2 linked regions of the Cricetulus griseus genome follow. The protein of the gene in region 2 purifies or fractionates together with the protein of the main gene of each other region. This does not show direct contact. Links are inferred from orthologs where the notes say so. Each region holds a gene or a part of one and is shown on either strand. Other genes may lie near its edges. The genes, in order: Eif4enif1 and Lsm14a.

Region 1 (3,806 bases), on a different chromosome or scaffold from region 2:
GTAGCACTCACCCATATGAAAAACATTTTAAAGGTAGAATTCTTAATCTATTAAAAAAGTTTTAGTTTAGCTGGATATTGGTAGCACACACCTTTAGTCCCAGCTCTCGGGAGGCAGAGGCAGGCGGATCTCTGTGAGTTCGAGGGCAGCTTGGTCTCCAGAGCGAGTGCCAGGCTAAAGGCTCCAAAGCTACACAGAGAAACCTTGCCTTGAAAAACAAAAACAAAAAAGTTTTAGTTTACAAATAAAAAATGATGGCTTAGCTTTTCAATCTATCTGCTTTTCAATCTATCTAACATAATCTTACTAAATAGGAAAAGTCAAAACACAAAGGACAAAGTATCTGGTCACTTTCTAAAGAAATTAAAGTAATTGTGGAGAAAAGTTTTTTCTTTTTTCAAGACAGGGCTTTTCTGTGTAGCCCTGGCTATCCTGAACTCACTGTAAAACAGTCTAGCCTAGAAATCAGAGTCCACCTGCTTCTGCTTCCTTAATGCTAGAATTAAAGGTCTGTGCCACCATCACCCAGTGGAAAAAGTAATTTCTATGTTTTGCTCAGTTACCAATGTTGTATTTTTTTTTTTTTTTTGAAGACAAGTCTTCTGCATGTCTCTCTGCGGCTGTCCTGGAACTCGCTCTGTAAACCAGGCTGTCCTCAAACTCACAAAGATATGCCTGCCTCTGCTTCATGAGTGCTGGGATTAAAGATGTGCACCACCACCACCACCACCTGGCTTTTTTTTTTTTTTTAAATTATTTAATACACTATGGATGTTTTACTTGGATGTCATTGCACCATATATATGCAGTGCTATCAGAGGCCAGAGGACTGTATCAGATATCCTGGAACTGGAGTTAAGAGTCAGTTGTGGCTGCCATGTGAATACTGGCAATCACACCCAGATCCTCTACAAAAGTAGACAGTGCTCTTGATCAGAGTCATCTCTCCAGCCCCCAACTTTGTCTACTGCAAAATGTTATATTCAAGAGTAGAAACAAACTTGCTCTTAGACACATTTGTGGAGATATTCATCTCAAAAAACAAGGTGCTTGAGTCCAACAGGAACCCTAACAGTTTGGTCATTTTTAACAGATGATGAAGTAGGGACTCTGACAGGAGAACCTCATGTGCACAAGAAATGGACACAGCTGATTTCTGAATCAGGACATCCTTTGCTGTATCCTCTCAACTATCAGCTGGTGAAGGAGCTGGGAGCCATAATATTTCCATTGTCCTTAGAAGAGGTTGACTCATATATATACATACATACATAACACACACGTATACATACATACATACATACATGTAGTACATACCTTTAATCTTGGCATTTGTAAAGCAAATGTATAACAATCTCTCAGCTAAGGCTACATAGTGAGTGAGACCCTGTCTCAAAACAAAACAAAAGATACCCCTCTATGGAAAAAAAAAGGAGAAAATACTAGATCTAACCTAACCATAATTAGCTGTCCCTTTCTTTCTCTTTCTTTCTTTCTTTCTTTCTTTCTTTCTTTCTTTCTTTCTTTCTTCCTTTCTTTCACTTATATTTATTACATATACAGTGTTCTGCTTGCATATTTGCCTGAGCACCAGAAGAGGGCACCAGATCTCATGATAGATGGTTGTGAGCCACCATGTGGTTGCTGGGAATTGAACTCAGGACCTCTGGAAGAGCAGTCAGCGCTCTTAACCTCTGAGCCATCTCTCCAGCCCTCTTATGTACTTTTTTAACTAAGAAAAAAAAAAAGTCGAGGCAGGTTTTACTATGCAGTCAGGTTAGCCTTGAAATGACTACAAAGCTCTAGCTAACCTCAGACTCAAACTCCTCTGTCTCAGTATCCCAAGTGCTAAGATTACAGGTGTGTACCCAGATTCCATGCATGTTTATTTTTATTTTGCACAAGTGTGTGTGGTGCGCGCGCGCGTTCATGCATGCATGCATGCATGCATGCATGTATGTATGCATGCTCCTGTGTGTAGGTGCACTTGTGTTTGGGTGCATATGCACATGTATGTATGTATGTATGTATGTATGTATGTATGTATGTATGTATGCTCCTGTGTGTAGGTGCACATGTGTTTGGGTGCATATGCACATATGCAAGTGGAGGTCTGAGGTTGATGTCTGCCATTTTCCTTAGTTACTCTCTACTTTATAAATTGAGCCAGGGTCTGTCACCTGAACTCACAGCTTACAAACACAGCTAGTTAGTTCTTTTAGCACTCTTGCTCCAACAATCCTATCTCCACTTTCTGTGTGCTATGATTACAGGAGGGCCAACACATTGCCCCAACATTTACCTGGATCCTAAAAATCTAAATTTCATTCAGTCCTCAAACTTGTACAGCAAGGGTTTTATCCATCAAGCCATCATCTATATTTGAAAATGTGCTGTTATACTCACCGAAGCCAAGCACGGCACCTTGTCAAGGTTAAAGAACTCATTAAAGTCAAATTCTCCTGGGGACTGCTCAGGTAGGACAACATCCCTTGGGACTTCCTGATCAGCAGAGGGCTCCTGGGCCAGGATAACTTCCACTTCATCTTCTTCGGCCACACCTCCATTACACTCCACTATGCCTGAAAACAAAACCAGGACAGAAACCACCTGCTGAAGTACACACTCCAGTCTCATTCTGTGCCTTTAGCTATCAATACACATGCAGAAGAACCACACACAACTGTCAATAGACTTCTTGTGCTGGTACTACACTTCCTATAATAAAGCATTTACTATCACTTCTCTGGGAACTAGAAAAGAGAAGTCATTGCTAAGTACCCTGAACTTCAATAGAGCAGGAAAAAGACTGTGGCCCCAGTCCTGAATATGTCTTTAAAAAACAAACAACTACTTAATTAATTAATTGTGTGTTAGTATATGGCACATGTGTGCAGGTATCATGGAAGGCCAGAAGAGGGCACTGGCTCTTCTTGAAGAGTTACACATATATGAATTTTTGAGCAGCTTTTTGTAGTGGATACAAGGAAATAAACTTGGGCCTCTGAAATCAAATTAATTGCCTATAAAAGGCTGGCTGTAGCCTACAACCAATGTAAACCTTGACTGTCAAACGTTCCTGGAAGCCTACCCTACCTTTAAAAAAAGATTCTAAAAAGTACACTGATCTACTCAGTACACATTAATTGCTGCCCTTCATATAATTTTGTTATTAGAGCAATTCTCTAGTGAAACAGATCTCTACAGACAAATAACCTGGTCTAATCAGCTCAGTCTTATTTTACAAGGCCAGGTAGATCTGTAATGTCAACTTCTTTTAGGATGGGAAGACAGGCTAAGCAAAACACCAGTTGCTAACATTTTAATTTTACACAAAATATGAGCTAAACAGAAAAAACAAAACAAACCCCACTTATTTGCAAGTGTGTAATGCCCCTGCTCCCCCGCCACACCCAAACATGGTTTGGAGAGATGGCTCAGTGGCTAATTGCACATACTGCTCACTCAGAGGACCTTAAGTTCAGATTCTAGCACCCTTTCATATCAGGCATCATAACTGTCTGTCAATATGGCACTTTGGGCCTGCTAGGGTACCAGCACATACATACATACAAATAAAAATGTTGAAAAACCCCCAACAAACACAAACAGGCATGTATGAACCTTGGGTTCAATTTCCCTACTTTGTATAAAACTAAGCCTGGTAGCACATGCTTATGATCCCAGAACTCAGGTGATGGAGGAAGGAAAACCAGGAGATCAAAGTCATTCTTGACTACATATCGAAGTCAGATCTTATGTTAAAAACTAGGGATGTATCACCCCCCCCCACACACACACACACA
Region 2 (4,241 bases):
AAGAGGAAGTTTGGGGCACTCCTTCCTTGGCTTTTGAGTTTTTGTCTTTTCTCAGCGAGATCTGGGATGCCTGACCTCCTGCCGCCCCCTCCCTCTGCAATTACGCCTGTACCACCCACACCCAGTTTTTCCCACTGGGACTGAACCCAGGGTTTTATGGACAATAAGCAAGCATTCTATCAACTGAGACACCTGTATTTTCTGCCTTTTAAGATGACCTGCCTGGCCCGGCGTTGATGGCGCACACCTTTCATCCCAGCACTTGGGAGGCAGAGGCAGGCGGATCTCTGTGAGTTTGAGGCCAGCCTGATCTCCAGAGCGAGTGCCAGGACAAATCAGGCTCCAAAGCCACACAGAGAAACCCTGTCTCGAAAAAAAACCAAAAACGAAACAAAACAAAACAAAACAAAGATGACCTGCCTGTATTGCTTAAGCAGGCCCGAAGTTCCTCAGTTCAAGCAGCCTTGGGAATAGCTGGGACTATAATAAGCAAGCGTCACAGCAGCAGGCTTCATACTGCTCCTTAAAAAGCAGACTTTTTAACTTAAGTGATTCAAGGATGCTTTAAAAGCAAATTGCCAAAAGTTACACAAGCATCACTCACCACAAGTCAAAATGTGGAAAATCGCACCCTACTCTTTCATAGCGTACCTTTTTAAAGCATTGGTTTTCGTGGTACTGGGGATGGAATCCAGATCTCCCCACTTTTGAGACATCTGTCAATCGGGTGAACTCCTAATCCCTATCAGGTGTTCAACAACATAAAAAAAAAGTATCTCACCTAGGTCAACTCGTCCCCAAACAAATACTATTAAAAGGGCCTACAAAACAGCTTAAAAAAACAAAGGTCACCAAAGCTTGTTGGGTACTGTGGAGCGACCTCCCTCTCAGCTGACCATCAGACCCGCTCTCACTCCTCTCCTCCTGGCCGTGCAGATCTGCACAGTCCCACAGGTGTGGCGGGGCAAACACTAAACCCTCCTCCCAGAGTGCTCCCTGCAAACCGCTGTAGGGCCACTTCCTCTGAGACCAGAAGCTCAAGTTTATTTTCTTTCTGCCTTCCTGGCAGAGGCCAGCACGTGTGGACGGAAACAAAACCCGCACGCAGACTGTGCGGCGGGCGCTGCGGGCTGTGCGGGGCAGGGGAGGCCCGTCCCCTCCTCTAACACCACAAGTCCCTCCAACCCGTTAACACTCCAGCCCTGAGCTTCCCTGTCCACGGGGGTGAGAGAGAGAGAGACAGAGAGAGACAGAGGGGGGGAGAGAGAGACAGAGACACAGAGAGACAGAGACAGAGAGAGACAGAGAGACACAGAGAGAGACGGACACACAGAGAGAGAGACAGAGAGACACAGAGAGAGAGGGGGGGAGAGAGGGAGACAGAGAGAGACAGAGAGAGGGGAGAGAGGGAGACAGACAGAGACAGAGAGACAGAGAGAGGGGAGAGAGACAGAGAGTCACACACAGAGAGAGACAGAGAGACAGATTCACACAGAGACAGAGAGAGAGGGGGGAGAGAGACAGAGACAGAGGGGGAGAGAGAGACAGGGGGAGACAGAGTGAGGGGGGAGAGAGACACAGAGAGAGAGACAGAGGGGGAGAGAGAGACAGAGAGACAGTGAGAGACACACACAGAGAGAGAAGGGGGAGAGAGAGACAGAAACAGACAGAGACACAGAGAGAGACAGAGACAGAGAGGGGAGAGAGACACAGAGAGACAGAGAGAGGGGAGAGAGGCAGAGAGACACACAGAGAGACAGAGAGACAGAGAGAGGGGAGAGAGAGACAGAGAGAGAGGGGGAGAGAGACACAGAGAGACTGACAGAGAGAGAGACACAGAGGGGAGACAGAGAGACAGAGAGAGACACAGAGAGAGACAGAGAGGGGAGAGAGACAGAGACAGAGAGAGACACACACAGAGACAGAGAGAGAGAGAAAGAGAGAGAGAGAGGCCCGTGGGGGACGGGCGAGCAGGCGGGCGAGCACTGAAACGCGCGCCCCTCACGAGACGTCTGCACAGGATCCGGGTGTAACAGGTAAGCATCGCATCGCGGGGGCAGGAGTCAGCAGCCCATGCGAGCGGCTCGCCCGTCCGCGCGGGCCCCGGCCCTCCGCGATCTCACACTCACTCACACTCACACACGCACCCCCGAAGTTTCGAGCGCGTTCCCCGGGACTTGCACTCGGGGGCGAGCGGACGGCTTCTCGGGCTCGCCCGGCTTTGTTGGGCGGCTCGGAAGACGGGAACGGCCGGATTTCGGTCTTGGAAGACGCGAAGCCGGGGGAGGGGGGGGGTCTCCCGGCCGCTTCCTGGGCCCGGCTCGCCCCCGGCTCGCCCCGGGCGGCGCGCGCTGGTGCCCCGGATGGAGGGCGAGCCGCTCCGGGGAGCCGGGAGAGGGGAGGCCGCGCCCCGGGCCTCGTCGCCCGCCCGCCGCTCGCTGTGTGGCTCGCTGTGTGGGAGCGGCCTCCCCGGAGGACCGCCCCGCCCGGCCGCCCGCCCGCCCGCCCGCCGCCCGCCCCGGCTCGCCCGGCCCGCGCGCACCTTTGGCGAGGGCCACCGTGGAGTTCTCGGTGTCGATGGTGTAGAGGATGCCCTCGTAGCGGATCTCCGCCTTGGAGATGAGGCTGATCTTGCTGCCGATGTAAGGAGTGCCCCCGCTCATGGCGCCCGCCGCTCGCCCGCCCCGGCTCGCCCGCCCCGGCTCGCCCGCTCCGCTCAGGCAGATCCCGCGCTGCGCCCGCCCGCCCGCTCGCCCGTCCGCTCCGTCCGCTCCCGCTCGCTCCGTCCGCGCCTCACAGCAGCCTCCTCACAGCCAACATGGCGGCCGCGCCCGCTCCGCTCCCCTCCCCCAGCCTCCCGCCCTCAGCCCGCGGCGCGGCGGCAGCGCGGCGGCGGCGATGGCGGCGGCGGCGGCGGCGGCGGCGGCGCGGGGCATGCTGGGAGGGCGAGGCCCGGCGCGCGCACGCGCACACGCGCCCTCGCGCGAGACTGGGCGAGCCCCGCCGCGGCCGCTCGCGGGTCCCCGGGGCCGCGCCGGCGTCTCCGCTTCTCGGCTCCTCCGCTCCGAGCGGTCGGGCTGCTCCGAGACACCGGAGGGGTTGGGGTTGGGCTGCTTGTTTTGTTTTTGCGGCACCGGACGCGGAGGGAGGGCGAGCGAGCGGGAGGGCGAGCGCCCTCTCATCCCGCCTGGGGACGCCGGCCGCGGCCTCCGCCATTTCCAGGCGGGCTGCACGCACCGGGTCACGAGCCCCGGGTCTTTGTCGGCGCCCGCTCGCCCGCTCGCCCGCTGCCTCAGGGCCGCCCGCCTGCCGGTCACCGCGGTCAGGCCGCTGTCCACCCCGTGTCTCTCTCACACACACCAACACACCACATACATACACACACATATACACATATACACACACACACCACATACACCACACACACAGACACAGACACACACACACGCCCCAGCACACACACATACACACATATATACACACATACACACACACACACACCACACACATACATCCCAGCACACACACATACACACATATACACACACACATATATACACACATACACACCACACACACAACATACATACACCAACACACACACACCACACACACACACCACACACACATACACATATACACACACACATACACACATATACATACCACACACATACATACACATACACTCACCACACACACATACACATACACACACACACTAACCTAGGTTGACCTCTTTCACCCCCGTCTGTTGTAGCTGTAACACACACGCACACACTGTAAATGTTGGTCTCTCGGTCTAGACGGTCCCCATCCCTGTGGCTCCACAAGAAGCCCCAGAGACTGCGGCCACGATGGCTGCCAACAGCCTCCTAAGACTTCCCTGCTTCTCTAAACTCCCGCCAGGTTTTCTTCCACAGTAGCCACACCCGGGCATCACGTTCAGGTAGCAAGAGATGGCGGCCTCTTGTTCAAGTCAGGTAACACCTCTCCCCTACTCAGTCCTCTCCACAGATTCCGTGTTACACAAAACGAAAAGCAGACTCCTTGCTAGAGCATGGATTTAGCTCCTTGTTACACAGCTCCGTGCTGTTGGAAGCATCTCCTCCTCACACAGAGCTTTACACGCGCACAGCACCCTGACATGGTTTGTCTACAGTACTGTCACGGACCTCACTCTACACCGCCACCCCCCCCAGCACTTATTTTTTTTTTTTAAGATTTTATTTATTATGTAT

Evidence for each region.
Region 1: the proteins of Lsm14a (region 2) and Eif4enif1 purify together in Homo sapiens (affinity purification with mass spectrometry; 3 studies listed by BioGRID and IntAct, with this or other methods). This does not show direct contact. The link is inferred for Cricetulus griseus from reciprocal best matches to the Homo sapiens genes LSM14A and EIF4ENIF1.

What each region holds. Positions count from the first base shown.
Region 1 is NW_023276807.1:101,695,440-101,699,245, forward strand, and holds part of Eif4enif1 (eukaryotic translation initiation factor 4E transporter), read right to left. Parts: intron 2,583-3,806; coding exon 2,407-2,582; intron 1-2,406. UniProt on the Homo sapiens protein: EIF4E-binding protein that regulates translation and stability of mRNAs in processing bodies (P-bodies). Plays a key role in P-bodies to coordinate the storage of translationally inactive mRNAs in the cytoplasm and prevent their degradation.
Region 2 is NC_048602.1:4,108,774-4,113,014, reverse strand, and holds the start of Lsm14a (protein LSM14 homolog A), read right to left. Parts: upstream 2,837-4,241; 5' UTR 2,664-2,836; coding exon 2,543-2,663; intron 1-2,542. UniProt on the Homo sapiens protein: Essential for formation of P-bodies, cytoplasmic structures that provide storage sites for translationally inactive mRNAs and protect them from degradation. Acts as a repressor of mRNA translation. May play a role in mitotic spindle assembly.